Oryctolagus cuniculus: one gene and its partners. The protein of the gene in region 7 interacts with the protein of the main gene of each other region in a pairwise test. Links are inferred from orthologs where the notes say so. Each region holds a gene or a part of one and is shown on either strand. Other genes may lie near its edges. The genes, in order: STX11, DDX17, CCDC102B, EMD, COIL, CEP70 and BYSL.

What was found.
Region 1: the proteins of BYSL (region 7) and STX11 interact in binary tests that used the Homo sapiens proteins (3 or more experiments, as listed by UniProt). The two-hybrid records come from large-scale screens. The link is inferred for Oryctolagus cuniculus from reciprocal best matches to the Homo sapiens genes BYSL and STX11.
Region 2: the proteins of BYSL (region 7) and DDX17 interact in binary tests that used the Homo sapiens proteins (3 or more experiments, as listed by UniProt). The two-hybrid records come from large-scale screens. The link is inferred for Oryctolagus cuniculus from reciprocal best matches to the Homo sapiens genes BYSL and DDX17.
Region 3: the proteins of BYSL (region 7) and CCDC102B interact in binary tests that used the Homo sapiens proteins (3 or more experiments, as listed by UniProt). The two-hybrid records come from large-scale screens. The link is inferred for Oryctolagus cuniculus from reciprocal best matches to the Homo sapiens genes BYSL and CCDC102B.
Region 4: the proteins of BYSL (region 7) and EMD interact in binary tests that used the Homo sapiens proteins (3 or more experiments, as listed by UniProt). The two-hybrid records come from large-scale screens. The link is inferred for Oryctolagus cuniculus from reciprocal best matches to the Homo sapiens genes BYSL and EMD.
Region 5: the proteins of BYSL (region 7) and COIL interact in binary tests that used the Homo sapiens proteins (3 or more experiments, as listed by UniProt). The link is inferred for Oryctolagus cuniculus from reciprocal best matches to the Homo sapiens genes BYSL and COIL.
Region 6: the proteins of BYSL (region 7) and CEP70 interact in binary tests that used the Homo sapiens proteins (3 or more experiments, as listed by UniProt). The link is inferred for Oryctolagus cuniculus from reciprocal best matches to the Homo sapiens genes BYSL and CEP70.

Annotation. Positions count from the first base shown.
Region 1 is NC_091436.1:24,387,904-24,392,310, forward strand, and holds the start of STX11 (syntaxin-11), read right to left. Parts: upstream 2,926-4,407; 5' UTR 2,786-2,925; exon of another isoform or gene 2,742-2,785; intron 1-2,741. UniProt on the Homo sapiens protein: SNARE that acts to regulate protein transport between late endosomes and the trans-Golgi network.
Region 2 is NC_091442.1:115,141,150-115,145,022, forward strand, and holds part of DDX17 (probable ATP-dependent RNA helicase DDX17), read right to left. Parts: intron 1,637-3,873; coding exon 1,486-1,636; intron 210-1,485; coding exon 110-209; intron 1-109. UniProt on the Homo sapiens protein: As an RNA helicase, unwinds RNA and alters RNA structures through ATP binding and hydrolysis.
Region 3 is NC_091441.1:9,987,462-9,991,334, reverse strand, and holds part of CCDC102B (coiled-coil domain-containing protein 102B), read left to right. Parts: intron 1-3,153; coding exon 3,154-3,756; intron 3,757-3,873. UniProt on the Homo sapiens protein: During interphase, forms fibers at the proximal ends of centrioles to maintain centrosome cohesion. During mitosis, dissociates from the centrosome following phosphorylation to allow centrosome separation. Contributes to CROCC/rootletin filament formation.
Region 4 is NC_091453.1:132,603,920-132,608,553, reverse strand, and holds EMD (emerin), read right to left. Parts: upstream 3,051-4,634; coding exon 2,969-3,050; intron 2,815-2,968; coding exon 2,707-2,814; intron 2,564-2,706; coding exon 2,486-2,563; intron 2,274-2,485; coding exon 2,140-2,273; intron 1,225-2,139; coding exon 1,178-1,224; intron 1,099-1,177; coding exon 777-1,098; downstream 1-776. UniProt on the Homo sapiens protein: Stabilizes and promotes the formation of a nuclear actin cortical network. Stimulates actin polymerization in vitro by binding and stabilizing the pointed end of growing filaments. Inhibits beta-catenin activity by preventing its accumulation in the nucleus.
Region 5 is NC_091448.1:32,546,722-32,551,127, forward strand, and holds the start of COIL (coilin), read right to left. Parts: upstream 3,019-4,406; 5' UTR 2,949-3,018; coding exon 2,704-2,948; intron 1-2,703. UniProt on the Homo sapiens protein: Component of nuclear coiled bodies, also known as Cajal bodies or CBs, which are involved in the modification and assembly of nucleoplasmic snRNPs.
Region 6 is NC_091435.1:143,208,398-143,212,270, reverse strand, and holds part of CEP70 (centrosomal protein of 70 kDa), read right to left. Parts: intron 3,571-3,873; coding exon 3,480-3,570; intron 3,360-3,479; coding exon 3,236-3,359; intron 2,919-3,235; coding exon 2,738-2,918; intron 2,059-2,737; exon of another isoform or gene 1,992-2,058; coding exon of another isoform or gene 1,875-1,991; intron 1-1,874.
Region 7 is NC_091436.1:127,986,652-127,991,229, forward strand, and holds the start of BYSL (bystin), read right to left. Parts: upstream 3,163-4,578; 5' UTR 2,825-3,162; coding exon 2,557-2,824; intron 1-2,556. Other genes in the region: MED20 (mediator of RNA polymerase II transcription subunit 20), read left to right, coding at 3,347-3,360. UniProt on the Homo sapiens protein: Required for processing of 20S pre-rRNA precursor and biogenesis of 40S ribosomal subunits. May be required for trophinin-dependent regulation of cell adhesion during implantation of human embryos.

The DNA of each region.
Region 1 (4,407 bases), about 100 Mb from region 7:
CCACTGAAGGGTGAACCAACAGCAAAGGAAGACCTTTCTCTCTGTCTCTCTCTCTCACTGTCCACTCTGCCTGTCAAAAAAAAAAAAAAAAAAAAAAAAAAAAAAAAAAAAAGCAGTTATAGTTCATTAATTATTCACTCTGTTTTCAAAAGATATATAACTAAAAGTGTCTGTGATCATCCAGTGGTGATAATAATCTGGGCTTATTTTTACCTGGTTATTAAATAACAGGAAATACGGAGGCCAGTTCTGTGACATAGTGGGCTAAGCCTTCACCTGCAGCACTGGCATCCCTTGTGGGTGCCGGTTCACATTCTGGCTGCTCCTCTTCTGATCCAGTTCTATGATTATGGCCTGGAAGGCCAGCTCTCTGCTGTGGCCCAGGAGTGCAGTGGAGGATGGCCCAAGTGCTTGGGCCCTGCACCCACATGGGAGACCAGGATAAGCACCTGGCTCCTGCCTTTGGATCAGCGCGGTGCGCCGGCCGCGGCGGCGATTGGAGGGCGAACCGACGGCAAAAGGAAGACCTTTCTCTCTGTCTCTCTCTCTCACTGTCCACTCTGCCTGTCAAAAAAAAAAAAAAAAAAAAGGCCTGGGAAAGCAGTGGAAGATGGCCCAAGTGCTTGGGCCCCCACGCCCATATGGCAGATCTGGAGGAAGCTCCTGGCTCTTGGCTTTGGATCGGCCCAGCTGCAGCTGTTGCGGCCATTTGTGAAGTGAACCAGCAGGTGGAAGACCTTTCTCTCTGTCTCTCTCTGTCTGTAACTCTGTCTCTCAAATAAATAATCTTAATAATAGTAATAGGAAATATGGTTAATTCAAACAACTTGAAATCATGCCTCTCTAATTAATATATATTAAATCTGTTATGAAATGAAGAATAAGCTCTCTACAATTAGATGGCTAAACTTAAAACCCTCTTTGTTCCCCCAGCAATGACCCAGTCTATTCCAAATCACAGATCTGAGGAAATAACACTCAGGTTGGGACAGAGACTGTGCTGGGCATAGATAGATCATGGCGCTCACCTCATTATATTGGATTTTCCACTGTATTTGTTGGCCTTCCATGCATCTCTAAGGATCCTGTCCTTCCACGGCTGTATAACCAGAGCTCAGGGAGGAGCTAGCACAGAGAAGGTGCTTGGTAACTCTCTGGTTGGGGCTAGCTGTTTCTCTTCTCTCCTGTGTGCTGGATTAGTGCACAGCCACTTCCTACATCTGCTGCTCAGTTGCAGTGGGACCTGTCAGCTTAACCTTTCTAATTTCTCACCTCCAACTGGCATGGCATTTTGTGTGTGGTTTTAGCACTGCTTCAGGAAAGGCAAACTAACTGTCTGAAATACTTTCATCTCAGAGAGGGATTTATAATCATTTTGTTAAATGATATTTTGTTAAACGAGCATTTGTGCCATAAAGTGAAAGTAGAAAGACAGTTATTGAATAATGAAATTCACTTTCTTGTGGCAGTGGGCATTTAGCCTAGAAGATTAAGACACCTGTGTACCACATTCCAGTGCCTGGGTTCGATTCCCAGCTCCTGCTCCTGACTCCTGCGTTTCTGCCAAAGCAGCTGGCAGATTAAAGTAATTGTGTTCCTGCCACCACCGTGGGAGTCCTGGATTGAGTTCCTCTGGCTTTGACCCAGCCCAAACCATTGTGGGTGTCTGGGGAGTGAACCAGCAGATGGAAGTGCGCTCTCTCACTCTCACGCTCTCTCTCTCTCTCCCCCCCCCTTCCCTCTCTCTCTCCCCTCTCTCCCTCTCTTTCTCCCCACTCCCTTCCTCTTCCTCTGAAATTAAAAAATAAAAAATCCTTTTCTTGGGCGTCTACGGTAAAGCACGCGATCTCCATGGCTATCTTAGAGCAGCCCAAATGACCCTGGCTGATGTGTGGCCCAGACGGGAGCTCTAGGAAACTGAAAACTGGAATTGTCACTTGGGACAACCGCCTGCCCCAGTTTGGCTGTGCATACATTTCACATCTGTATTGTTATTTTAAAGACAGACGGAGCAAACCTCACGTTTCAAAAGTTACTTAAGGAAGTCTCACAATTAACAGAGCAGCCCTGTGACTCATTTTTGGAGACCCGTGTAGAAATAACAACTCCTCCCTTTGCTGAGAAACGGCTTCTGCACGGGCCGGCCTGCGCAGCGCGGGGAGAAGCGCGGCTCCTGGTGAGGGTCCTCTGGGCGCCGCCAGCCAGCGAATTCACTCCGGGGCAGCCTCTGCCTGCGTGCTCTGAGAAAGTCGCGAGCGCTTGCCAGGAACCGCCTCAGCGCTATCATTTGGTCCGCATTTCCTGGCTCCTGAGTCACGCTGTCAAGTTCAAGTCAAGAGGTCCTCATTCTGTTTTTGAGAAAGTGCACCCCACTAGGAAGTGAGCCGTTTTATCAGGCCGAAGTAATGCCCCCACTTTCACAAAAGTGGGGTGGGTGGATCCTTGCAGAAGGCAGACAACAGGTGTCTCTGAGAACAATGCCCACTAAATCCTCAGTCCCTCGCCTTGGAAAAACGAAATAAATAAGAACCAACAACAAGCCATTGCGCTCCGTACGAGAAACCCAGTGTGGCGTCCCTAAGGGCCAGGAAGCGAGGGGTGGACCAGGGCCAAACCCGAAAACCTGGGCCCAGCATCCTGTCGCCGGGCAAGTGAGCGTCCCCTCCCGCCCTCCTTGGGCCCACACTCCCAGCTCCCCGCGTTCGGGACAGAAAAGGAGACCCAGGCAGGAAGGAACGAACCTGGACCCGGGGCGACCGTGCGAGCTGAGAAGCCGCTCTCTTACCCGAGCGCCGGCTTCGCGCTGGGCGCCAGGACGCAGAGAAAACCTGTTGCGCGCCTCTCCGCGGCTCAGCTCTCGCCGCCTCCCACAGCCTCCGCTCCTCCCGCGCCAGAGGCTGGGCTCAGCCGCCGCCTCCCGAACTCCGAGCCGCCGAGGCCGCATCTGGGCGCCGCCGGCTCGGCCCCCGACACTTCGCAAGAGCCCACGGCTGGGATCGAGGCCCCGCCCCGGGACGACAGCGCGGAGGCGCCGCGTCCACCAGCTGCCCGCGCGCAGGTTCCCGCCCCGCCCGCTGCCGGTGCGCTCCGGGCTGCCCGGAACCTGGGGCTCGCGCGCGCCTGCGGTGCGCCGCCGGGCGCTCCCGTGAGGTCGGGGTAATTGGCCACCCGAAGCCATCATCTGTCCCCCGCCTTCCTCTGGGCCCCTGCGGGAAGCGCCGGACTTTCCCGGGGAAACCCCGCGGCTCTGGTGACATTTGCAGCAGGGTGCGTTTCCGTGGCGAGGACGCTTGAAGCGAATTCTGAGCGTGGGTGTGGCCGCCAGAGGACGGCTGAGACGAGGCTGCAGGTCACACGATGGCTGGGCACTGGCTTTCCAGAACCCACGCCGACCGGCACCCTTCAAACCTTTGCCAACGCCAGTTTGAGTTCATTCATTCACTGAGGAGCCAGAGACACGACCATGGCCAAAATATTGCCAAGCCTCTGACGTCTTTGTGGGAATAGGGAAGCAGATACAGTGCGTATGTATTGTGGAAGGCGGTGGGAAGAGCCTTGAAGACCGAGGCTGAGACTTAAAGGTAAGAATAGTGTTCATTAAACACACACACACACACACACAATAAATAAGGGCCAGCGCTGTGGCACAGCGGGTTAGCTGCCTGCAGCACCGGCATCCCATATGGATACTGGTTGGTGCTCCAGCTGCTCCACTTCCTATCCAGCTCCCTGCTAAGGCACCTGGGAAAGCAGCTGAAGATGGCACAAGTCCTTGAGTTCCTGCACCTACGTGGGAGACCCAGGTGAAGCTCTGGGCTCCTGACTTCAGACCGGCCCAGCTCTGGCCAGTGCAGCCATTTGGAGAGTGAACCAGCAGATGGAAGCTAGTGCGCTCGCTCGCGTGCTCTCTCTCTCTCTCTCTTCCTCCCCCTCTCAAATAAATGGAAGGAAGGAAGGAAGAAAGGAAGGGAGGGAGGGAGGGAGGGGAAAGGAAGAAAGGAAGGAAGGGAGGGACGGAGGAAGGGAGGGAAAGAAAGAGAGACACAAACAAACCAAACTCCCACAAAGATGGGAGAATGTAAAAAAAAAAAGAGAAGCAACCAAAGGCCAAAGCTTGAATGGTTTGAGCAAGAAATTAACAAACATCATTTAAAGATGGCACATTTCTGAGAATTGCCTTAATAGTTGATGTGCTGTTTGTGCAAAAATCAAAGGATACTTACACAAACCCATGAAGCAGTCTCCTATTCAGCCGGTCTGTTGTACAGCGACTGTGGTATATGGGGTCTGTCCTTAGCCCAATGGTCCTTACATAGGTGTGACGGTAGTATTGGAGTAAAGCCCAAGATAAATATATATCTATGAGTCCACATTAGTATACATGAATGATCCCACAAGTAAGTGCAA
Region 2 (3,873 bases), on a different chromosome or scaffold from region 7:
TGCAAAACGATTCCATTTGTCTTTGCAATTCTGAGCCTAGGTCAAAACTTTAACCTATTATTCATGTTTACCACTCAACAGTTAAGCTTATGCAATGAAGAACACTCACGTGGGAAGTTGGCATGATGGAAGGCAAACACAGGTTTAGGACAAACATCTCCCCCTCTCACTGTGATCTCTTTCTTCCGGCGTAGCTCATCAACCTCATACTATGGAAGTAAATGAAGACAAATTAGTAAACAAGTTATTCCAAATACTTAAAACTTACATTCCTGTCAGCTGGAAAATCAACACCCAATCCACAGTCACAGTGGCAAATATACGCAATATCTTTATAAAAATTATTTGAGAAAAAAGAAAAAAAATAAAAATTATTTGAAGGGCAGAGTTCTATATATCAACATAGACACACAGAGAGTGAGAGCAAGAGCAAGAGAGATCTATCTTCCATGCACTGGTTCACTCCCCAAAAGGCCACAACAGCCAAGCCAAAAACAGAGGAGCTTCGGCCAGGTCTCCCACGTGGTTGCAATGGCCCAAGCACGTGGACCATCTTATGCTTTCCCAGGCGCACTAGCAGAGAACTGGATCAGCTGGGCTTGATCCACCACTCAATTGCAGGCCCTGTATTCACTACTGGTTTTATATATATTCAACTTTGTGAGTTAATTAACAATGTAGGTGATTAAGGGTTCTATTTCCACAGGAGAAAACAAACTCAAGAGAGTCAGTCATGGCGCTGGAGCTGTAGCGTAGTGGGTCACGTCTCCGCCTGCGGCCCTAGCATCCCATATGGGTGCTGGTTCCAGTCCGGGCTGCTCCTCTTCTGATCCAGCTCTCTGCTGTGCCTAGTGAAGTAGCAGAGGTTGGCCCCAAATGCTTGGGCCCCTGCCTGCACTCACGTGGGAGACCTGCAAGACACTCCTGGCTCCAGACGGGCTCAGCTCCAATTGTTGCAGCCATTTGGGGAATGAACCAGAGGATGGAAGGTCTTTCTCTCTGTCTCTCCATCTCACTGTCTATAACTCTACCTCTCAAATAAATAAATAAAATCTTTAAAAAAAAAAGTTATTCACCCACCCAAGGTCAGAACTAGGAAGAGAGGAAAAAATATAACAAGGAAGTTCAGGCCCAAGTTTTCAATACACTTTCTTCTGAACAAGTAACCATTTTATGGATAGAATGGAAAGCAATCATAATGAGGTTAAAAAGACTATACAATGTTGTTTTAAAATTATTACACTTCATAGATGAAAAGACATCGCCCAATCTACAAGACCGTTAAAACCATGTATGGTAAATAGGTCAGAGAGCACTCAGCACGAGAAACCCGCCCACGGGGTGTCTGCCTCTCAGGAGCATCAGAGGGCTTCCGAAGAGCCCAAGGGACTTCTCACCCCCCAGAGAAAACCTCAGGGCAACAGCAGTACACAACCAAACTCTTGCTCATACTGCACATAAAAAGATAAAAACAAACAAACGTACTGGAGTCAGCCTTGCTACTTCTGGATGTTCCACATAAAAATTCTTCTCAAACTTGGGAAGCTCACTCAAATCCCATTTCTTCTTACGTAAACGCTCCCCAGGATTACCAAATTTCTTCAGGGGAAGGCCACCACCACCTCTTGCTCCAAACCTAGAATCAGCATTTTAAATCAATTAATATTATTGTACCTTACATGGCGCACACACACACAAAGGTGGACTCCCAGTATACACCAGCAGTCTCCCAGACTGTTTTATTACTCTTCAGTGCTTAAAATAGAATCTGACAATAAATACAGTACAGGTTAGCAACAAGCGGTACTGGGTACCAACTGTACACCAAACACTGTTTTAAGTAGTGCTAAAGACACTGTGAATGAAACAGACTTAAGTCTCTACTCCCGCGTAACAGACATGCAGGGAAATACCGAGCTTAAATCAACAGCCAGGCTGTGGACAGCGGGAAAATGCCAATGTAGGTGGAGCCCACACTCGGAGCAGCTTCTTGGATCTCTCCCCTGTGACGAGCCCCGCTACTGTCTGCTCACCTGGGCAGGAAGACCACTGGGACCTGTGACGGACTGCTGGGCTGGTCTTCACCTCGTTTACGCTACTCAAAGACCCACAACTAAGATGTATGACCTTTTCTTCCTCCTCTTTCCACCTTTTACTTTTGCTCTCAAATAGAACTCATATGAAGAAAAAGCTATTAGTAAGTTACTTAAGGTTTTAAAAGCAAACAGATTATTAAAATCCATTTCTTGGAGTGGGCCTTCAAGACAGAGTGCCTGGGCTCAATCCCAGCCCCACTCCTGATCCAGCTTCCTGCTAGCATGCGCCCTGCGAGGCAGCAGGTGATATCTAAAGTACTTGGGTCTCCACTACCCAAAGTGGGTAGAATTCCAGGTTCCTGGCTTTGGCCTGGCCCAGCCCTGGGTGTTGCAGGCACATAGGAATATATCAATAGATACAAGACCTCTTCCTTTCAAAAAAAAAAAAAAAATTAAAAATGCTTTAAAATGAATTTGTGGTTAAAAATTGACTCATTTTTGTGCAAGGCAGAGTTAGAGAGGGGAAGAGACAAGACAAACTTCCCTCTCCTACTCCACTCCACAGATGCTACAAGGGCTAGGACTGCAACTCCACCCAGACTGTTCACTTGGCTGGCAGGGGCCCATGCAGGCATCAGCAGGGAGGACGACTGGAAGCAAGAGTAGCCAGGACTCCAACCAGCACTCACGTAATTCCAGATTCCAGCATGGTGGTGGCGTCTTAACCCATCACACAGTACTGGCCCCTTTTGTGTTTTGTAGCAGGTAAGCTCAACTGGAATACAAATATGGCCACCCACCGAAAATGAAATAGAAAATACAAGCTACTTTCCCTAGAAAAATCCTAACAGTAAGATGGCCTTCATTTCCCCTATTTCAACCTACGCAAAGTTTGGGGCTGTGTTTGGCACACAAATTGTATAAAGTGTTTCTTCATCCCATTTCCTCACTCCTTGTCAATCACCTCACTGAACTGAATTTCCCTTTCCCACCCTAACTCACCTGCACAAAGTTCCACTTTGCAGCGGACAGGCAGTAGCTGCACTCCTCTAAGGGCCCTCAGCTCTCTACAACTGAAAGCATCAGAACCCTCGGCTCAGACAGCAGGCAGGGCTGGTCCCAAGACAGTGAGTGGTGTTTCAAGAGTCAGAACAGTCAGCCAGACGTTTCTCTACACGTGAGTGCCCCGGGTTCACTGCATAGTCACACCCACAGGCAGGAACTGGGCTAATGCCGCTGACTGAACTGCTTATCCAGAAGAGACTAGGAATGCAAAGAAAACTGAAAGCACAGGGAGACACCTATCAGTGACATTTTGAATACGCACTCAGGTGTAAGGCTCAATGTTACACAGACCAAAGGCCACCTGGAGTGGCTCTGTCGCCCACACCTGTAAAGCAGCAAACACTGTAAAGTGCTCAAGAAACAGTCTGCAGAGACCGCCAGCCTGCTCTCACACGGATCTCGGGTGTGACTCCACTGCTGTTACCACATACGTTTTCTTTGAAGGCTTATTTGAAGCTTATCATTGTTATTTTAAAAAATTGTTTCTTGGGGCCAGCACTGGGACACAGCATGCAGGTAAAGCCACTGCCTGCAATGCAAGCATTCCACATAGGGACCACTTCAGATCCCAGCTGCTCCACTTCTGATCCAGCCCCCTGCTAAAAATGGCCTGGGAAAAGCAGGGGAAGGTAGCCCAAGGGCTTGGGCCCCTGCACCCACGTAGGAGACCCATAATAAACTCCTGGCTTCAGCCTGGTGCAGCCCTGGCCATTGTGACCAACTGAGGAGTGAACCAGCAGATGGAAGATGTCTTTGCCTCTCGCTGTGTAAC
Region 3 (3,873 bases), on a different chromosome or scaffold from region 7:
AGTACTTTTATAAGTCTTATTTTTCTTTACATTTTTCTTACTTTTAAGTACCCTGTTTCTCTTTCAAAAGGCAGAAAAGAAACCGAAAATTACAAAATAGTAATATATTCTGAGATGATGCATTCATGACTCCTGGCACTAAGGAAAACTTTTGCCTTACCTGTGAGAGCCTGGACTAACCAATTAGTAGGCACTTTTCCATTCTCTAGTCAGAAATGTCTCCTTACAAATAAGGATATTATAATTTGTCTGTGACTATCTAAAATCAGAATATAAACCTAAGGCTCACCATCTTAGGCATCAGATTCCTGTCAGGGAAGAGACATTTAGTTATGTCATTTATCTATTCTTGATTCATTACATTTTATTTGTTTGGCTATCTACTATATTAAAAAAATTTGCCATCATAGCAGCCTGATTGCTATTAATATTTTTATAATGTAAAAAGCAGTGCAAAAACCAGAGTCAAGAGTATTAATATATTTTTGTAGACATCAAAGGCTTTGTGCTACAACCACTGGAAAATGCATTTATAGTCACCTGAAATAAAATTCAAAGAGTACACACAGATGTATAGGAAAGTGAGTAGTTTAATAAACACATATGCATCTTAAATATCCCCATCTCAAGAAAATTGTGCTTGCTTGAGGAAACTCTTTAGAACAGGAAATACTATTGAAGTTCAAGGACTGAATAATTAAACCCAAATCATTTTTATTTAGTCAGATGTGGAAAAAATACATAGTTAATTCTTAGGCAAGATCTCAATGTACCAGAATCCAATTATAGAGTCTTCTGAATACTGGTGGAATAAAAGTTAATGAGACATTTTAAATACATTACAATTTTATGATACTGATTTATTTTTGGAAAGTAGCAAGGATAAATTTAAATTTAATATGCTGTATTAAGTTCTCTGTATTCATTTTGGAATTCCAACAGTAAAAAATCATTACATACTGAATAGTGAACAGACTGACAGATGGATGGATAGATAGTATGTGTGTTTGTTATTTCTAGTTAAGATCACCTTTTATTCTTTTATATATCAGTCTTGCCTTAGTAATAAAACAAAGTTGGTAATTTATATTATCATTGTCCTCCAAATTACAGTAAATGGAAGAACAAAATTACTCATGTACCAAGGCTAACGAATATAATCACATCACGAGTCTGTTATTATAAGTGTTACAATAGTGAATTGATTTTACATCTCAAATTTGTTTAAAATGTTTTTTCAAAATAAAAATTTAATATTAACTTTCTGAAGTCTTTTAATTATGTGCTCATGAATCATAGTTTTAAAAACATTGTATAGTCTTTTATTCCAATAAATCAGGCTTATTATTATATACGTAGTTGATACAGTAGAACCATTCAGTTAGTTGTATAAGTAGATAGGTCCTAAGGAGGAAGTTATGATCTGTAATTACAAAAAAGAAAATAAAGTGAGAGGAATTTATGGCATGTGCATAAAATATTATCTAAGCTTTTTTTTAGATTAGAAAACTGTTTCTGGAAATAAAAATGAGTAAACCACAGGAATTTACTAATTTGTAAATTAACCCGTGTCTTTTAAGGAGTTACTTTAAAAGTTATGCTTGTTATGGTCTCAATATAGTTGTAGTGCTCTATTGAATAAAATAACAGGCATGCAAATTGATAATGATATGCATTCATATATTTGTGCTTTGGTATTTATAATGAAAGCTGATTTTAATTTCTCTACAAGGCTTTGAAAAAGCTAAGACTGCTCAGTGTTATCTCTATGGTGAAGGTGCCGCGTTTCTAGATGGCCCATTTCACCTTTAGCAGTACTCCTTAGATCACCCCAACATACCCTAAGATACCCTAAGAATCTGAGAATGACTTTAAATACATAAAGAGATTCAGTAAATATACCTTTTATAGTGTAAACTATGGATTTTTAAACTTGTGTATGCTTTATCTACTAAAGTTTTTGAGGACAAGGATCATGCCTCATTTATAACAACTTATTTTTGCAGTTCATAAGATTTTAACCATGTAGGAAATTAATTTGAGAATCAGATGTGGCTTTGACTATAAGTAACGGAAAACCTAACCATTGTGGCTCTAATAAATATGGATAACCCCTTTCACATGCTTCCACATGGCATAGACACCACGCGAGAGCTAGCTTGTTATGACTGCTTTCATCTTGATGTTCCAACTTAAGATTTATTTATAAGATAAATAAATTAGAATCAGCGTTAGAGAGAGCGAGTCTCCAATCACTGGTTCACTTCCCAAATGGCCACAATGGCCTGAGCTGGGCAGAGCCAAGGCCAGGAGCCAGGAGCTTCTTCAGGGTCTCCCACATGGGTGCAGGAGCCCAAGCACTTGGGCCATCTTTTGCTGCTTTTCCAGTGTGCATTAGCAAGGAGCTGGATCCGAAGCCAGGACTTGAGCCGGCACCCCTAGGGGAGGCTGGCACTGCAGGCAGGGGCTTACATGATACACTGCAGTGCTGGCCCCTTTTCTACCATTTTAAATATTATTAAATAGTTATGACAATCACCTTCTCCCAGAGCCATGTCCTTGTTTAGGCAGGAAAAAGAAATTGAGGAAAGAGGGTTTTTCATTCTAATGTTCTCCCAAGTAAACCTTGCCTTTCTTTAGCCTGATCCAGATCATGCATTTGTTTTGAGATTATCATATAGTTGTTGACATGGAGTCCATCAAGCAAAGTGTAGATTATTCATGATTTAGCCTCTGGGAATGGGATTCTCCTAGATGCCCTTAGAGTTTGCATTCTACCTGAACAAATCTGAGATTAGTTGCAGAGGAAAATGGGACTGTTGTACAGTTAACTGGTAATAAATGCTATAATTTTGTTTTGTAAGAAGAAATGTTACAAAAGATATAACTCGAATAGAATTTGATATTTTCTCAATTGCATCTTTATATAGTTATTTGTTCAGCAAAATTTAATATGAGAGATTGATTTTTTTTGTTAATTTGCTATTAGAGGAATAGATTCTTCTAAATCTTTAGTTACAACAGAAAAAAAAATATGCACAATTGAAAGATGCATTGTTTACATCAGATTTTTTTTTATTTTAATGTATTTCAATGCTCTTACAATTGTAAGGAAAATTCAAACGTGTAATTTTGTCCTCTGTTTTATCCTAGGCCTTAAACATAAACATGAATTTAGAGTCTATTCATCGACTAATTGAGGAAACACAAATCTTTCGGATGCAGCAGTCATCGATTCAATCCCGCTGTGACCCGTCAGCCCCTGCCTCGCCCCCCAGGGACACGTGGACGCCCTGCCCGCCTCTCCAGGGGCTGCAGCCTCAGGCCCCCCACCGTTTCTGCGCGCATCCACTGCACCCCAACGAGTGGGACGTGTGCGCGGAACTGCGCCTGCGGGAGCTGGAGGAAGTCAAGGCCAGGGCTGCCCAGATGGAGAAGACCATGCGCTGGTGGTCAGACTGCACGGCCACCTGGAGAGAGAAATGGAGCAAGGTTCGCGCGGAGCGGAACAGCGCCAGGGAGGAAGGACGGCAGCTCAGAATGAGACTGGAGCTGACGGTGAAGGAGCTGAGCGAGCTGCGGAAGAGACAGGGCGCGGCCCCTCAGAAGCAGCCCCCGGCCGCCCCCGCTCCCCTCGCTCCTCTGGCGTCCCGGGAACACGGAGATGAACCTGAAGTCGCTTCCCAAACGTGTGAGCGTGTGGGGGAGCGCCTGCTGAGAGGACAGCGCCGGACCCGGGAGACCGTGGGCAGTCGGGTGAGAAGGTCCTCCTGGGCCCGGCGCCGGTGGCGTGGTGGGTTAATCCTCCCCTGAAGCGCCGGATTCCCGTGTGAATGCCGGTTCGAGTCCCGGCGGCCCCTCTTCCCATCCAGC
Region 4 (4,634 bases), on a different chromosome or scaffold from region 7:
CCTTCCAGACCCACCACCAAGATGGCTTGTTTACGTTCTATCCTAATGCCCTTGGAAGCTGAAGTTCGTTTCAACCTTTCCTGATGGGAGCGCTTGCAAACCACACTGTGCCTGCAGCCTCACCTGCATTTCCAGGTGGGTTCTCCAGACCCCTTGCTGTTATCACAGTTCTTTTCTTAAGTAGTTACCAGTGCTTTGGGGAGTCAGGGAATAAACCCCCAAACAACACATGAACCTAGTCAGCGGTAGCATTTGATTCCTATGCCAAGACCAAAGCAAAACCACAGAATCAATAAAGCCAGGTGACAATCCTTAAAAAACCTTAAGACCCAGAGACCCCAAAGCATGGCAGCCAGCCTCTCCCCCAGCAGGAAGAGCCAACACATTAAAAATAAACGGTCTTTATTGCGTCCACGAAAACAAAGTCGAGGTGGCCCTTGGTTAACCTCAAAAAGGTGACAACGAACAGGAGGCATGCATGAGCACATGACAACATCTCTGAAGGAGTGAAGTCTTGCCCTCCCAGGCCCTAAGGGTCAGAGGCAAGCAGGGCCAGGAGGCTCCAGAGGAAGGCACGCCCAGGCCTACCAGAACGTGAAGGGCCCGAGTCTGCTGCCTCCCTGGTGGGAGCAGGCAGGGGGAGCAAGCACTGCTCAGGGCTAGGCCCAGCCCCCAAAGCTAGAACACACAGAAAAGCCCCCACCCCCACCCCCAGCACACACTGCACTAAGGCAGACAGCCAGGACTTCAAAGAGCTGGCTCTGAAATCAAGACCCTCAGGGATCCATCCAGAAGGGGTTGCCTTCCTCTGCCTGCAAGGAATAGTAAACAAAGAGCAGGAAGGCAGCAAAGACCAGGAAAAGCAGCAGCTGGCCCCAGAGTGGGACCTGGCGGTCCTGACCCAGACCAGCTGCAGGGGCCTGCTTTTCTGGTCGGATGGCACGGCGGGCGAGCCATGATGGAGAAGGCGAAGAGGCCACAGAAGAGGAGGATGCAGGGTAATAGGACAGGCCCAAGGAACTCCTGGAGACGTTGGAAACAGGGCGGTAGTGTGCGATGCTCTGGTAGGCACTGTCACGGCCATATGTGGAGCGTTCCCTAATGCAAAAGAGGGGAGCAGGTGAGCCAGGAGAGCTAGGCCCAGAATCACTGCTCCCAGGGCCTTCCCACTACTCACCTGTCCTTGTCCTCCTCTTCAGAAGAGAAAAGATGGTCACTGCGCACCTGCAGACCAGAATCGAGGTGACGGGACTGGCCAGCAGGGTCAGCACAGCCTGTCGTATTACTCAGCCCACTCTAACCATTGCTTAAAGGCCAGACAGGGCAGGCATTGTGGCGTGGCAGGTTTGGTTGCCAGTTAGGGTGCCCATATCCCATACGGAGTGCCAGTTCAAGTTTTGGCTGGTTTGCTTCTGGTCCCCTGCTACCCCTGTGGAAAACCTAGATGGAGTTCTGGGCTCCTGGCTTTGCCATGGCCCCCATCCTGGGCATTTAGGACATTAACCAGGGGATGGAAGACCTCACTTTCTCTTTTTGTCTTCCTGTTGCTCTGGTTTCAAGCAGATGAAAATAAACATTTTTTTTTTTAAGATTCTACTTATTTATTTGAAAGGCAGAGTTAGAGAGGGAGAGATCTTCCACCTGTTGGTTAACTCCCCAAATGGCCACAATGGCCAGGGCTGAGCCAGGCTGAAGCCAGGAGCCTGGAATTCCATCCAGGTCTCCCATGGGAGTGGCAGGAGCCCAAGTACTCACACCATCCCCCACTGCTTTCCCAGGCACAGTAGCAGGGAGCTGGATCAGAAGTGGAGCAGCCAGGACTCCAACCTGGATGCACATGGGATGCTGGCACTGCAGGCGGTAGCTTAACCTGCTGTGCCACAGCACTGACCCCAGAACCCTCTTTTCTCCCCCTGGATTCTGAGTTGGAACTTCAGATCCTGACCAGGGTGCAGGCCACATCCTGTGTGCTCTAGTCAAATACTCTTGACACGCCCCGTAGCAAAGTCCTAACTCATCCTAACTCTCTCTGGAAACCTAGGAGCTAGCATTTGTACCCAGTGATGCTGGGATTTACCCAAACCCAGCTGTCATCCCTTCAAGCTGCCCCCGGATATGAGGTGCCCGACGGCAGCTCACCTGGTGGTGGGAGGTGTCAGCATCAGAAAGCGAAGTCCCGGGTTGCCGGAAGCCTTTGGATGTGCCCACAGACTCGGGCTCCCCGTAAGTCCTGGTGCTCAAGTAACTCTCCTCGTAGTAGTCATCATTATAGCCTTGAAAAAGGGAGCACTGGTAGCAGAGGGCAGACCCGTGTTCCCCAGCTGCTCCAGGGACCCTTATTTAAACAGCGTTTTTGGGGCCCCTCTCAGGTCGCTGAGGCTGGTGGGGAGTCGAGGCCTCAGGTTTTCCCTACGCCCACGGTCCGGGACAGGGTGGGTGAAGGTGTTGGGGTGATGGTGTTAAGGGTGTCAATTCCTTGCCTTACCCTTGCTCTGGTAAAGTAAGGCGTCCTCTTTCTTGGGCAGGTCGTACTTATCCGAGTCCACAGATGCCGAATCCAAGTCTGAATTGAGGGGGGGGACGAGACCATTTTCCCCCAGGCTTCCCTCCCTTCTTCGCAGTGCCTCTCTCGGCTAGCAACCCACCCCCCACGCCACACCCTCGAAATCCCACCCTCCCTGTCACCACCGGCAGCCAGCTGCTCACCCGAGAACCGATAGGAGAACGAGGAAGCAGACGAGTTGGGTGGGGAGAGCCTCCGCCTCTGGGTCTCGTACTCGAAGATTTTCTTTTCGTAGAGCTTGCGAGTGGAGCCTGACCAGACAGCGGGCGCGGGGCGGTCAGGGTCGTGGGCTGCGAGCCCAGGGAGGGAATCTGGGTAGGGGACGCAGGCGGGGGGTACCGGGGGGCTGCGAGACGGCGCGCGGGAGAGCGAGTCCCGGGAGGCGTCCCGCCCGCTCCCGCGTACCCACGACTGGCCCGTGCGGAATGTTGTACTGGCGCAGCACGGCGGCCAGCTCGGTGTCCGACAGGACCGCGTAGTCGTCCATCGCGGGCGCGGCCGGCAGGTGGCGAAGGGCTGGGGGCAGCCCGGGCCTGGCGACACAGGCCAAGCAACACCACTGCCTCGCAGGGCTCGGGAGCGGCCGCGCTTGCGTCACGTCTGCGTCACGCTCCCGTCATGGCCGCGGGCTCCGCAGGCTGCGCGCGCTGCGCGGGGCGGAGCCAAACCACAAGGAGGAGCCGGCACGGACCGGTCTAGCTGTGGGAGCGGGCGGGGCGGGCCTGGCGAGCTCGTATTTCAAAAACGTGCGAGATTGGTTTGTGGCGGAAGAGGGGCGGGGCCTGTGTGGGAGCCAAAGTGGCTCAGACTACTCAGGCCGTGGGAGTGGGCGGGGCTGCACGCTCGAGAAAAGGGGCTGGACGGGCACGCCAAGACGTCACACGCAGGCGCTTCTGAGCTAGACTCGCGGGAGGGGCGGAGCCTATGCGACCCGAACCGGTAGAAACCGGCCAGAACGTGGGAGCTAGGGAGCCGGCGGCGTGGGTGTCTTTGCGGTGGTTCGGGCCGGTTGACTCTTGCCACATCCCTGCGCCTGCACTCGTCGTCCCCCTTTTCCCGGGATCCCAGGCCGAGGGTTCTCCCGCAGCAGCGGGAAGGAGCCACCCTTTGCACAGCGCCGCTCTCGGGCCAGCCACTGCTGTCTACGCTTTGGGTGCGCTACGCGGACCCCCTGGCCCAGGCCGGCCTCGCTGACCTGCACCGGCCCTCGCCTGCGCACCTGCGCCCATCGGTTCCCATCGCCTCCCTCCCTCCTTCCCTTGCTCCTCCCGCCCTCCACCCGGGAGGAAATGGGGCACTGGGCCAGGAGGACGCGGGCACTCCTGGAGCAAACAGCCTTCGAAGGGGCCCGGCGGGCCGTTCCAGCGGGCACGGGCAGAGCGCGCTTCGGAGAGGGAGTGTGCCCTCCCAGCCCACCCTACTGTCAACCCGGGGTACTGGGTGGAAGGGAAGGGGGCTCCAGTCGGAATGGCCCTGAGCCCAGTGACCAGGAGGGGGCCGGGCAGGGGCAGAGGAGCCTGGTGAGCCGTGAGAGACTGCCAAGGCTTGCTCAGGTTCCTGTACTGTGGCTGGGTTGGCAAGGGTCTTAATCAGAAGAGGGCTGTCCCCTTGGGGAGTCGAAAGGAAGTGACAGAAGTGGGTGCATGAAGAGATGAGGTGCCGTCCTGGCCTCACAGATGTTAGCTGGTGACAAGAAAGTGCGAGGGCTCTGATCAGCTCCAGGCTGAAGGGCCCAAACTGGTGATGGTCACAGGCCAGTTCTCTGAGGAAGATTGCTCACACAGAATGGGGACAGACAGACCAGGGAAGAATGTGGAAGAGACGAGGCCCTTTGACCGTAGACAAAAACCCTAAGGAAGAGGGGTTTCCGTTTGCCAGATTCTAGAATAAAGACCTGGCCCAGTCTGTTCCTAGCAATGTGGGAGAAGTTGTGTGCATTCCCAAAGACAGTGTGCATGGCAGGAAAAGGCAGGAGAGATGACAGTTTGAACTATTTGCAGCTATGAAGCTGCCTCCTGGAGTTTTTAGTTTTGGCCAAGGCCCGCTTGCCCAGCACCTCTCCAAGCCTTCT
Region 5 (4,406 bases), on a different chromosome or scaffold from region 7:
CTGGTGAGCACCAGCGTTAGCTGGACTCTGGCAGCAGGCACCACAGCAGGAGACTGCACAAGTGGAAAAGATCACACGGAGAGAAAGGAAACCAGAGCGGTCGGGGTCACACTCACTCTTTTATGACGCTCACTCTCAGGAGAATTAACTTAGGGTCCCAAGAGAATTCTCTTCATCCTTTTGAGGGCAGTACCGTCGGTGACCTACCAGCTACCACAGGTCCCATGTTTTAAAGATCTCAACCTTCCAATACTGCCACACTTGGGACTACGCTTTCAATATGCTGATTTGGGGGTACACACAACCACATCCAACCACAGCAGAGACTACGTTTTCTTTGGTAGCTATGAACAAAAGGTCAATCGGTCAAGGGAAGGCTGGATGATTGGAGGCAAGAAACAATCCAATATTTTTCAGGATTTTCCCAAGCTTTACCCATTTACCACTGAAGCCAGCTGCAAAAGGCATGTCTTGCCATGAGCTGACACACTCAGGGGAAATTTACGTGTAACAGTTTTCATGAGGTTTCTGACACTGCTAACTTCATTATAAAGAATATTATTTCCCAGATGACTCATCAACTGCAGTACAGCCATGGGTAGCTGGCAGCAAGTTATTAATCATTGGGCAGAGGAGAGTTTAGAAAGTACACCCTCTAGGAGGGGACAGTCCTTACAACTGTAATATTTAAATACTCCCTAAATTGCAGAGGGAATAAAGACCCATTTCACAGACAATAAATAGGATAAAGAACTCTGAATTTTAGGCTTTTTCAAGCTGTCATTTGAAACAGTGGAACATCATTAAATCACAGCATTCTTGATCTGAGAGAGAGCCAAAGAGGCGGTCATGTTCCAAACTGAATTCCCTAGTGTTCGGAAGAAATCCTGTGACTACGACGTGCTCTAGGTAGGAAAAGGAATAGTCAACGATATTCTGGGGAAGGGGCAAGCCAAAAGAAGTGGGCGGGTTCACCACTCTGGAGTTAATTCACCATAAGCTGAAGCTTACAGGGGAAGAGGGAGTGTGTATCCCGTCTAGTGCTTGAGAGCCCACATCCCACCCTGCAGTGCCTGGGCTCTAGTCCCAGCCCCCTCCTTATTTCAGCCTCCTGCTAATTCCTGCAGATTGTGGGAGGCAGTGTGATAGCTCAGGTGACTGAATGGGCCCCTGCCACTCATGTAGGTGACCTAAATCGTACTCCAACCCACAGCTTCTGCCCTGCCCTAGGCCTGGCTGTTGTGGACATTTAGGGAATGAAACAGTGGATGGGAGGCCGGCGCCGCGGCTCACTAGGCTAATCCTCCATCTTGGCGCTGGCACCACTGGGTTCTAGTCCCGGTCGGGGCGCCGGATTCTGTCCTGGTTGCCCCTCTTCCAGGCCAGCTCTCTGCTGTGGCCCGGGAGGGCAGTGGAGGATGGCCCAAGTGCTTGGGCCCTGCACCCCATGGGAGACCAGGAGAAGCACCTGGCTCCTGCCATCAGATCAGCGCGGTGCGCCGGCCGCACGCACCGGCCGCGGCAGCCATTGGAGGGTGAACCAACGGCAAAGGAAGACCTTTCTCCCTGTCTCTCTCTCTCACTGTCCACTCTGCCTGTCAAAAAGAAAAAGAAAAAAAAAAGAAAAAGAAATAGTGGATGGTGAGCTTGCTCGCTCCCTCTCTGGCTCTCAAATAAATAATTTTCATAAGAAAAGAGAAACAGGAGTGGGTGTTTGGCACAGCAGTTAAGATGCTGGTTGGGATGCCCACATCCCACATCAGACTACCTGGGTTCCAGTCCCAGCCCCATTCTCGTTCCAGCTTCTTACAGTGTTTACCCTGGGAAGCAGCAGGTGATGGCTCAAGTTGTTGGACTCCTGCCACACACATGGGAGACCTGGATTGCATTTCTGGGTCCCGGCATTGGCTTGGCCAAGCCCTGGCTATTGTGGCTGTCTGGGGAGTGAACCAGTAGATGGGAGATCTGTCTTTCAAGTAAATAAAATAAATAAGTTTAAAGAGGAAAAAAAATAATAAGCCCTGAAACAATCAGTCCAAGACACGCATCTGAGCTGGAATGACCGCATCTCCACACCTCGCCAGCAGCTCCTACTGCTCTGGGACAGTCATCTCAGCGCCATCTTCTCTACATTTCCAAAAGCACACCTGGAATGACTCTGCCTTTCTCAAATCCACCTACTTGAACCCAAAAGGACCCAAACACCTATCTATGTGAGTGGACCCCAAAACGCCTGGGCGAGACACCGAATGCCCCCGGGGCTATCACAGAGCTAACGCCGGACAAGGCACACGGTTGAAGAAAACACGCCAGCTCCGGTCTGCCTGGCGTCCTGCCCCGAACCCTGCCCCTGCCCCTGCCCGCGGCCGAGGGAAGGCCGGTCCCTGGCACCGTGCGCACGACCACGGCGCCAGGCTGAGCGAGGGCTTGGACAGCAAGGCTGCGCGAACTCCCGGCCGGCCGGCAGGCGCACAGCAGGGTTGTCCCGCGTCCCGTCCACCTGCGCTGGGGAGCATCCCAGGCTTGCAGGGCGCTCGTCAAAACGCAGGCTCCTGAGCCCCTCCTCGACCACACCGCTCCGGCCCTCGGGGCCCGCGCCCCGCCAAGCCCACGCCCCCGCCCCCCGCCGCCGACCCGTGCGGCCCCGCGGCCGGAGGCGCCCGGGCAGCGCAGGCGCGTCCCCGGCCCGCCGCCCACGCGCACCTGAGGCAGTCGTTGTCCCGCACCAGGCGCGCGCTCTCGGCTGGGGGCAGGAGCCCCCCCTCCAAGTAGAGGCCCAGGAGGGCCCCCGAACTGAAGCCGAAGCGCTGGCGGATGAGACTGATGAGATCCGTGACGACTCGGCATCGGTTCAAGTCGACCAGAAGCCAGAAGGCTGTACAGTGTGGAGTGGCTGGCGGTGGATAATCAAATTGAAGCCGTAACCTAACCGTGTCGGAAGCTGCCATCTTGCCGTCCTCAACGGAAGCCGAGAGACACCACAAAGCTCCCGTGCTCAGGCGGCCCCCGCCCCCTGGAGCCGCTGCCGAGTGCCACCTTTCGGCAGCAAGTGGCTACTGCAGGAGCGCGGTTGATAAAGAGTTTTGTTCAGGACAGGGCTAGGGAAGAGTACAAAAGAAATAAATGCTTTTATTCCTTTCTTATCAGATAAATGGAGGGCCCGAATCTAGGCAAGTCGCTGGATGAACAAGCACTTGGCACCAGTGGCGGTCTAAAGTACGTCAAAGATTCTTTAAAAAAAGATGGCAAAAAAAAAAAAAAGGTGGCAACTCCCAATACTAGTTGACCCAATCTTTCATCCCAAGGAGTTGAGAAAGATGTCATTTCTAGCGTGTCGTCGACATTGACATCTCTCTTCTAAATGTATCCAGTGAAAAAAGTACTCTAGCTGTTTGATGTCCACCACCATCCATATTTTAAAATGCAAAAATAAGTCCTTTTATTTACCTGTAGGTAGGTAAGTGCAAAATTTTACATTATTCCTTTAATATCCATTTTTCCTACAAAATATATACATGTTAACCCTTTAATTGTCATGTCAAAGGTATGAACTATTATCGTCATTCAGAATACATAACAAACCAAGGTTCAGAGAGGATAAGTAACTTCCCCAAAGTAGTAGGTGAGTAGGTGCAGGTTTCGGACACTCAGAAGATGCACTGAAAAAAAAACAGTTTTTCAAGTTTTTTTCCTAAAGCTCTATGTCTTTTGTATTAAATTATGCTATTATTACTGATACATAATTGATCTAAATAGCTTCAAACATTACATGTAATTATGCATCACTATTATGTAGGAAAAGAACAATGAAAGTATCAAAGGCAAAGCTGTGAGGGATTTTCCGTTAGTCCAAGTATGTAAGGATGAATATCACTAAACAGGGCTCCATATTAATTGTGGGTCTGTTTTTATAGATGTAACATCCTCAGGAAACTTGCTCATGTAAATAAAATCAGAATGGAAAGACTGAGGTTCTGACAATGTCAGTTCCTTACAGTTTACGTAATGAAATCACATATTTATTTTTAAAAAATGTTTTCAGTACACCAGCAACCAAAAAATCAGTTTTTTGTTCAATATTGTCAAAAAGCAAAGAGTTAACAGTATATTTCACTTTGTGTTTCTATGTGGGTGCAAACTGTTGAAATCTTTACTTAATGTATACTAAACTGATCTTCTGTATTATAAGATTGAAATTGAAAATGAATCTTGATATGAATGGAAGGGGAGAGAGAGCGGGAAAGGGGAGGGTTGCGGGTGGGAGGGAAGTCATGGGGGGGGGGGAGCCAATGTAGTCCATAAGCTGTACTTTGGAAATCTATATTCATTAAATAAAAGTTAAAAAAAAAGCAAAGAGTTAAGAATCACCTTAAATAAATAAAAATCTTTTAAAAAAGGGGGAGGGG
Region 6 (3,873 bases), on a different chromosome or scaffold from region 7:
GGGAAGAACTGCTATAATCTGAAAGTTGTATTTTGAAATTTATATTTGTTAAATAAAAGTTTTCTATAAAAAATGGTCAAATTTTAAAAAAGTAAAAGGTACTAAAAAGGCAGTGAAAAAGGAGGCCATGATCTTGGAGAAAAAAGAAACCTAAAAGGACTGAGTATAGTTTTTGGAGTTATATTTCCCCATGGGTGTTTTCAGATACCTGAAGCAATATCACAGAAGCTAAGAAAATTAACATTTTTATTCTATTCTTGCTTTGTGTGCCCGTGCCTGTTTTAGTCTGGCAAGACTATGGAAACACAAATTAGACACCAAATAAAGACCCTGGGAAACCTCCCACTACACCCTAAGAGTGAAAGTGAACTAGAAATTGATCAGCTATCTTTGAGACTGAAGCTCAGCTTCAAATCTTCATCTGACACCAGATCAAGATGACCCCAGGTTACTCCTGTACCTGGATGTCTACCACAAGCACATATGGTTATCTTTAGGGTCTAGGCCTCATGGTTACAATTGTGCCCATACAGAGCCGGCGCCGTGGCTCAATAGGCTAATCCTCCACCTTGCGGCGCCGGCACACCGGGTTCTAGTCCCGGTCGGGGCGCCGGATTCTGTCCCGGTTGCCCCTCTTCCAGGCCAGCCCTCTGCTATGGCCAGGGAGTGCAGTGGAGGATGGCCCAGGTGCTTGGGCCCTGCACCCCATGGGAGACCAGGAAAAAGCACCTGGATCCTGGCTCCTGCCATCGGATCAGCGCGGTGCGCCGGCTGCAGCGGCGGCCATTGGAGGGTGAACCAACGGCAAAGGAAGACCTTTCTCTCTCTGTCTCTCTCTCTGTCCACTCTACCTATCAAAAATAAAAACAATTGTGCCCATACAGAGTTCAGCACTTAATAAAAAATAACCAGGCACACCAGAATAGAAACCTAAAGAAACAATAGACTATAAAAATGGATCCAAGGAGAACCAGATAATCAAATTATCAGACAGAATTATTTAAATGGAAGTGAGTTCACATAAAGTAAAATTAACCATTTTGCAGGGAACAATTCAATGGAGTCTAGTACATTCACGATGCTTGCAACCACCATCTCTATTTCTGTATCAGATATATATTTTATATATAATACATATATTTTAAAATAGATTCAATGTTTACTTACACAAAACAGAAAAACAGAAAATTCAGTGAAAGAACAGAAATTCTAAAACTAAAAAATATAATAATTATGAAAATATCCATAACAAATAAGCAAGATAAAAGATCAACAAAGAAAACCATGAAAGACATAGGAGAATATATGATAAATGCCAACAGAATTGGAGTCCTGAGAAGAATGGGCAGAAATAACATCAAGACATAATGGTTAAGAATTTGCCAAACTGATGAAAGACATCAAGCCACCAATTCGAGAAGTGCTACAAAGTCCAAGGAAGATAAGTCAAAACAAAAATCACCTATGCACAAAGTAAAACTACTTCAAAATAAAAACAAGGAGAAAATACTAAAAGCAGCCAGAGAGAAAGCAGATTGCCTTCAAAGAGTTAACTAATTGACAACAGAATTCTCAGTAGAAACAATGGAATCTGATCATTTCAAATGCTCAAAGTAACTACCAACTTAAAACTCTATACCTAGTGAAAACACTCATCAAAATGAAGGTGTCCCATACCAAATTAAAAAAAAAATTAACTAGAACTCTCGTACTCAGGAAGTAACGCTAAATGGTACAGCCACTTTGGAAAGCTTTGGCAATGTCTTTAATAAAATAACATACAGGGTGGGCATTTGTGGCAGCGGCTAAGATGCCTCTTGGGATGCCTGCATTTGAGTCCCTGATCCTGATTCTAGCTTCCTACGGACACATACTCTAGGAGGCACTGGTGACGGTTCTGGTAGCTGGATCCCTGCCACCCATGAGGGAGACTTGTGTTGAATTCCAGGCTCCTGGCTTTGGCGTGGCCCAGCCCTGGCTATTGAAGGCATGTGGGGAGATAAACCAGCAGATAGAAAATCTGTATATTTCTGACTCTGTCCCTCAGAAAACAAAAATCTGAAAAAAAAAAAAAAAAAAAAAAAAAAAAAAAAAACACCTGAATTTTTAAAATTAACATATGATTAAGTGGTTCCAGTTCTACCTATCCACCCAAGAGAAATGAAAGCTCATGTCTACCCAAATACTTGAACAATAGCTGTTTACAAGAGCTCTATTTGTGATAACCATCAACTGAGAACAACTCAAATATTCATCAACAGGTAGATGAACTATAGTAGATCCATAGGATGAAATACTTCTGAGCAAAAAGGACTAAGCAGTTGACACAGAGCCAAACGAATGAATCTCAAAATAATGAGGCTAAATGAAAAAAGGCTGCATATACATAACAGCCCATGTTATGTAAATTATTTTCGCCAACAGTCTCAATATACCCCAAATATTTATCAATTTCCTTGACTTCTTTGCCACTGAGATAATCAATGTTTCATTTCCCAACTGGCAAACAGGCAGCACTAACCTGTTCTAAATTTGGCAATAACTGTATATCAAAATTAGAAGAATGTGCCTTAGGCTGTGAAATGATTATGTTCCAGGGGCACTTTTATCTTTCCCAATTGGTTACCACAAAGATTTCCTTCTATCACAAGTACCACTGAATTCAGCAAGCGACCCAAGGATCAGGATGATTTGCTCTAGTACTAACCAACATCTAAGAAAATATGTAACTTGGTACCTGTAAAGTTTTCTGCTCCTTTTCAAGATCTTTTATTTTATTCTGCTGCTGGCAAACCCTATTTAGGGATTCATCCTCCAATTCACCAACTTTGGATTTCACACTCTCCATAATTTGTTCCAAGTCATTGGCACGTTGTTCCTGATGTGCTGCGCGGCTCTGTTCTAGCTGAAGTTCATTTCTAATTTAATACACACAATTCTCTCCTTTAGTATTTAAAAGTAAATCAAACCACATAACATATTAACACATTCACTTTCCAAAACTTTCTGCATTCTTGAAATTTCTATCTTCTCACAGAAAAAGAAATATAGCGTTCCATTACGTATCTATGCCAAGCTATTACCACAGGTTTTTCTATTAAAATGTTAACTATTTACCTATAAAAATAGCTTTAAACTTCATATTCAAAATCGAAAACTAAATTTTAAGGTTCTTTGCAAGACAGTTATTTTTAGAATGCATATCAACAAGTCAAAAGAATTTTTCCATTCTTACTTAAGCTGCTGATTAGTTTCTATAAGCTCCTGTATCATGCTCTGTTGACGTGCTGTTTCTTCTACCAACGTTTTCAAATTCTGTCTCATCCTTTGTGATGACTGCTTGTCAAAAATGATGAACTCTACATTTTGAAACATAACAGATAGTAAAAACAGAAGTGGGTAAGACATTTTTAAGATAAGAAATTTCAAAAGTAAAAAGAACCTTTTCCCCTTAAGGAGCAGAAATAGGATCCAAGTACCTTTAAGATCTTTTCTCTTGACCAGGCACAATGGTTTTAAGCCATGCTTCATCAACAGCATATTTATGTTCTCCCATTCTGCTTCTTCCTGCTACAATTTTGAGTAAAGACAAAAGAATCAACTTAGAGTGAAGAAATCCCCAATATATATAAATTCCTGTATTTCCAGGTAACAGAGGTTGTTCACCAAAAGGTTTTATTAAATGAGTTTATATGCATAAGATTAGAACATTTACCACTTGTAACAAGCTTAGCCACTGACTAGAAATATGCAAATAAGCACAAACTACTGCAGTGTACAGACTAATGATACGGAGGACTTAATGGCAACCTAAAGCAAACAAAAATCTTAAATCTGGTTCACTGAAATTATAACTGCATCCTTTAGCAAAGC
Region 7 (4,578 bases):
CCACAGCTTCCCATCATTGTTAGAAAGGCTTTCAATTCTGGGCATGCTCTCCAAGAGCTCTGCAGGTTTGGCACCTACCTACCTACCTCACCATCATTCATTAGTCCATTTACTCAGCGAACATCGAGTGTCTGCTACATGTGAGGCACTGGTAAGAGTGCTGGAAGGTTAGCAGTGAACAAGAGAAACAGAAATTGTTGACCTCACAGAGCTTACATTCTAACTGGAGGAGAAAAACATAAAAAATAGACGTAATATATAAATATATTGGATTAAAAGAAGAGAAGTACTAAGACAAAACACAGAGTAGAGAAGTCAGAAGTACAGAGGGGTCCAGCACTGTGGTGGGTGAGGCCACTGCCTGCAGTGCCGGCATCCATATGGGTGCCGGTTCGAGTCCCAGCTGCTCCACTTCTGATCCAGCTCTCTGCTGTGGCCTGGGAAAGCAATACAAGATTAGAAGATGGCCCAGGCCCTTGGGCCCCTGTACCAGTGTGGGAGACCAGGAGGAAGCTGCCGGCTCCTGGCTTTGGATCTGCTAAGTTCTGGCTGTTGTGACCACCCAGGGAGTGAACCAGCAAATGGGACCTCTCTCTGCCTCTCTGTGACTCTGCCTTTCAAATAGATAAACTGCAAGCCTGCAGGCAATGGAGTAGACTAATCCAGGAGAAGGAACAGCCAGGCACAGGCTCCAACTGCCCATGTTTAGAAGGAACAATGAGATTTGTATGGTGGAGTAGAGGACAAAGGGAAAGAAGCCGGCGGTCAGACGGTAATAGAGGTAGATCACACAGGGCACTGTGCACTATTAGAACCCTGTAGCTGTAGGGGCAACAGGATCGTGGTTAGGAGGGTACCACAATAACCCGAGCGCAGAACATGGCGGCTTGGACATGATGGCGTTTCTAAGGTGGCGGAGGTGGTCATCAGAACTTCCTAATGAATAAGACATGGAGACAGGAGGGGGAAAAGAAAGGGAGGGGGAGGGAGACCAAGGACAGGGGAGGACCAGGTGTGGGAGTCAGAGTTTGTTTTGGACATGGTAAGTTTGAGATGTCTTTTACATGTCAAATGAGAGATGCCCAATAGCAGCTGAATATAAGAATTTGGGCTTCAGGGGCTGGTGTTGTGGTGTAGCAGGTGAAGGAAGCTGCTGCCTATGACACCAGCATCCCATATGAAGCCAGTTCAAGTCCCAGCTGCTCTACTTCTGACCCAGTTCCCTGCTAATTGCCTGGGGAAAGCAGCAGAAGATGGCCCAAGTGCTTGGGCCCCGGCACCCACAGGGGAGACCGGGATGAAGCCTTGCTGGTTGCCGCCATCTGGGGAATGAACCAGTGGATACAAGATTTCAAATAAATAGATAAAAAAATTTTGAGTTTCTTGGAAGAGATCAGGGCTGGAATAAAAAGTAGGTAACACTCACTAAATAGATGGTAGTTAAATCATGAAACTTGAACAGGAAGTTTCAAATGCCTGCAAAAGCCAAGGAGACCCAGATGGAGCTCCGGATTTGGCCCGGCCCAGCTCAGTCATTGTGACCATTTGGGGAGTGAACTAGTGGATAAAAGATCTCTGTGTCTCTTCCTTTCAAGTAAATAAATAAATCTTAAAAAAAGAAAAAAAAGAAAGAAACAGCTTAGGAAACCCACATCCCATAACTGAATGCCAGGGTTCGAGTCCTGGTTCCACTGCAGATTCAGGCTTCCCACTAATATAGACCCTGAGAGACAACAGGAGGGAGCTCAAGTCATTGTGTCCCTGCAACCCACCCGGAAGAACTACACTGAGTTCCAGGTTTGGTCTGGCCCAGCCCTGGCCGTAGCAGGCAGCAGGCGTTTGGGAAGTAGATTAGGGGAAGCAAGTTTTCTCTCTCTGCCTTTCAGATAAAGATACTGTAGCCAGAAGAGCAGGGTTCAATTGCGTCAAATACTGCTTTTCTACAAATAAGATAAGCTCTGAGAAGTCGGTTAAACAACTCAGAGGTCAAGGCTTCTCCCCTATGAGAAAACAGTCAACATTTTTCAATCATCTCTCCCTCCACTTGGCCCCTAAACAATACTGCTTTTTCTGTTATGAACATTCGGTTTCAGGTCTCAGCTTCCAGGCTGGGCAACTCTGACCCCTACACGAATGCTATCGTTTCCAGAGAAACGAGACTTTCTTTCCCATGGAATTTACTGTTCTAATTGTCTCTCTCTTGGTTTAGACTGTAAGGTCCCGAGCTATATCTTGTTTATTTCTGCACGCAATCCATCAAAACTCCCAGCATCGTGCAAAGCCGGTAGCGAGCATCCCATATTTACAAAACCGTTGGACAAATGCTAGGAGAACTTGGTGGCCTGAGCCATCACTTCCTATTGGCCTAACTTGCGGGACGCGGCGAAAGGAGCACTAAAAACAGGGAGCGGGCCTGCAGGGTTCGGTCTTCCACCTGCCCTGCTCTCGGTAGAGAGCAACGTGCAACCCGGTTTTGAATCCAAGGTACTCCCCTGCCGGACACCTGTGGGCCGTCCACCCCCCAACCCAACTACTGCCTTCCCCGCGGACGCTCACCCAGCCGCGTGGCGCGCTCCCGAGGCTTGGCGGGCCCGTCCCCAGAGCCGTGCTCGGTTTCCAGCTCCTCCTGTTGCTGCCGTGCTTGCTGCAAAATCCGCCGGCTCAGCCGGGGCCCCACATACTCTTCCTCCTCTTCCCCGGTTCCGCGGCCCCGCCGCTTTTCCCGGGCACTTGACCGCACCGCGTTCCCAGCCAGGATCTGCTCGGCCAGGGGCGCGTGTTTTTCCTGAGCCCCAGCCCCACGGGCCGCTTTGAATTTCGGCATTTTTCTCGATAATGCGGCCCGGCAAACTCACACGTGGGTACGGCGACAGCCCAGGATGTGCGCTCGGCAATGAACGCCCAGGTCTGTGCCGAGAGGCCACGCGCTCACAGCGCCCCTACGCGTTCGGAGGCCAGAAAAGCAGCCAGCACCACTGCACTCCCGCAGGGAACTCCCGAGTCCTGGAGCCGGAGCCCGGAACAAATGCATTGCCTTTGACGTTGACGTCTCTAAATGGTGGCAGCCCGGGCCACGCTTTCCTAGCTTTCTGGATCTAGGACCAGGGTGGCCAACCAAACGGAAACTTCCGGAACTGCAAGCCAGGGGAGGGGCTGGGAATCGGGCCGATGACCTCACTGGAGGCGTCACCCAGAGTCGCTGCTGGTGCGTCTAACCGGCGCTCTGTTTTTACGTACTTCCGGAGCCCCTCCCGCGACCCGAGCCTGCGGTAGTTTTTAGTTCTTGTGGGCTTCGGGAGAGCGCTGTTTCGGCTGTGTGGTCGTGCCGCTTTCCAGGCCTGACGCTATGGGAGTGACCTGGTAGGATCACAAAGGGTTTTATGGGGCGGGACTTGGGTCGTGAAGGTCCCTTGAAACCTGGAGGGTCGGGGACTGAAGTCCGCCGTTCTCCGGGAGCTGAGCAAAATGCCCTCGGGCTGCGTGGATGTGGGCACTCTAAGGGCCGTGAGTCTCGGGCCCTAATGGGCCCCATTGCTCCTGGAAGGAAGCAAGGAAAAGGTTTTATCTCAGGAACCTTATGCATGGGTTGTGTACCCTCTTCTCTTTTTCTTGGTACGTCTTGCTACCCTTGAAATCCTAGTAGTGCAGAAAGTGGGACTTCGAGGTCGGAAACAGGGCTTTTCAGACTAGAACCCACCCGCAGGTAGGGTTAAAGCTGATAGGAGATAGGCAACGAGGCGGTGTTTGTGTGTTCGCCTCCCCCTACCTGTAGCCACCCAATAATCAGCCTGTATCTGGTTCTCATTCGGGTCTACAGGATCAAAATGGAAACTACTGGGAATTAGAAGATCAGGTTTCCAGACACTTTACTTCCTCATGACCTGCCTCCTACTACGTTTATACGGTTGATTCAGTTTCAGTGCACTTAAAAAAAAAAAAGATTTATTTATTTGAAAGGCAGAGTTAAAGAAAGGCAGGGGCAGAGAGAGAGCTTCCATCTGCTGGTTCTCTCCCCAAATGGCTGCAATAGCCGGAGCTGGGCCGATCAGGAGCCTGTAGCTTCTTCCAGGTCTCCCATGGGGGTGCAGGGGCCCAAGCACCTGGGCCATCTTCTACTGCTTTCCCAGGCCATGACAGAGAGCTGGATCGGAAGTGGAGCAGCCGGCTCTCAAATCGGCACCCACATGGGATGCCAGCTCTACAAGCAGCTGCTTTACCCTCCACGCCACAGCACTGGCCCCCAATGGACTTTTAAATCTCTGAACATGTTCTCAAACCCAGATGGAAGAGGATGGGGTGGAGGGGAAGGGTATGAACCCAGGGATCTTGGAGACCTTAGTTCCAAGGTGCTGGGTCTCTGCACCTTTTTTCTTCTTCTTCTTTTTTTTTTTTTTTTTAAGTCTTGGTTGTGAGCATCTCATCAGAGAGGCCTGGAGGCCAGGATATCTGAAGCCAGGAGTTATAGGCTTCTCTTTTTTTTCTCTTTTTTGAAAGATTTGAGAGGTAGAGTTACAGACAGTGAGAGGGAGAGACAGAAAGGTCTTCCATCTGCTCGTTCACTCCCCAGATGGCCCCAAT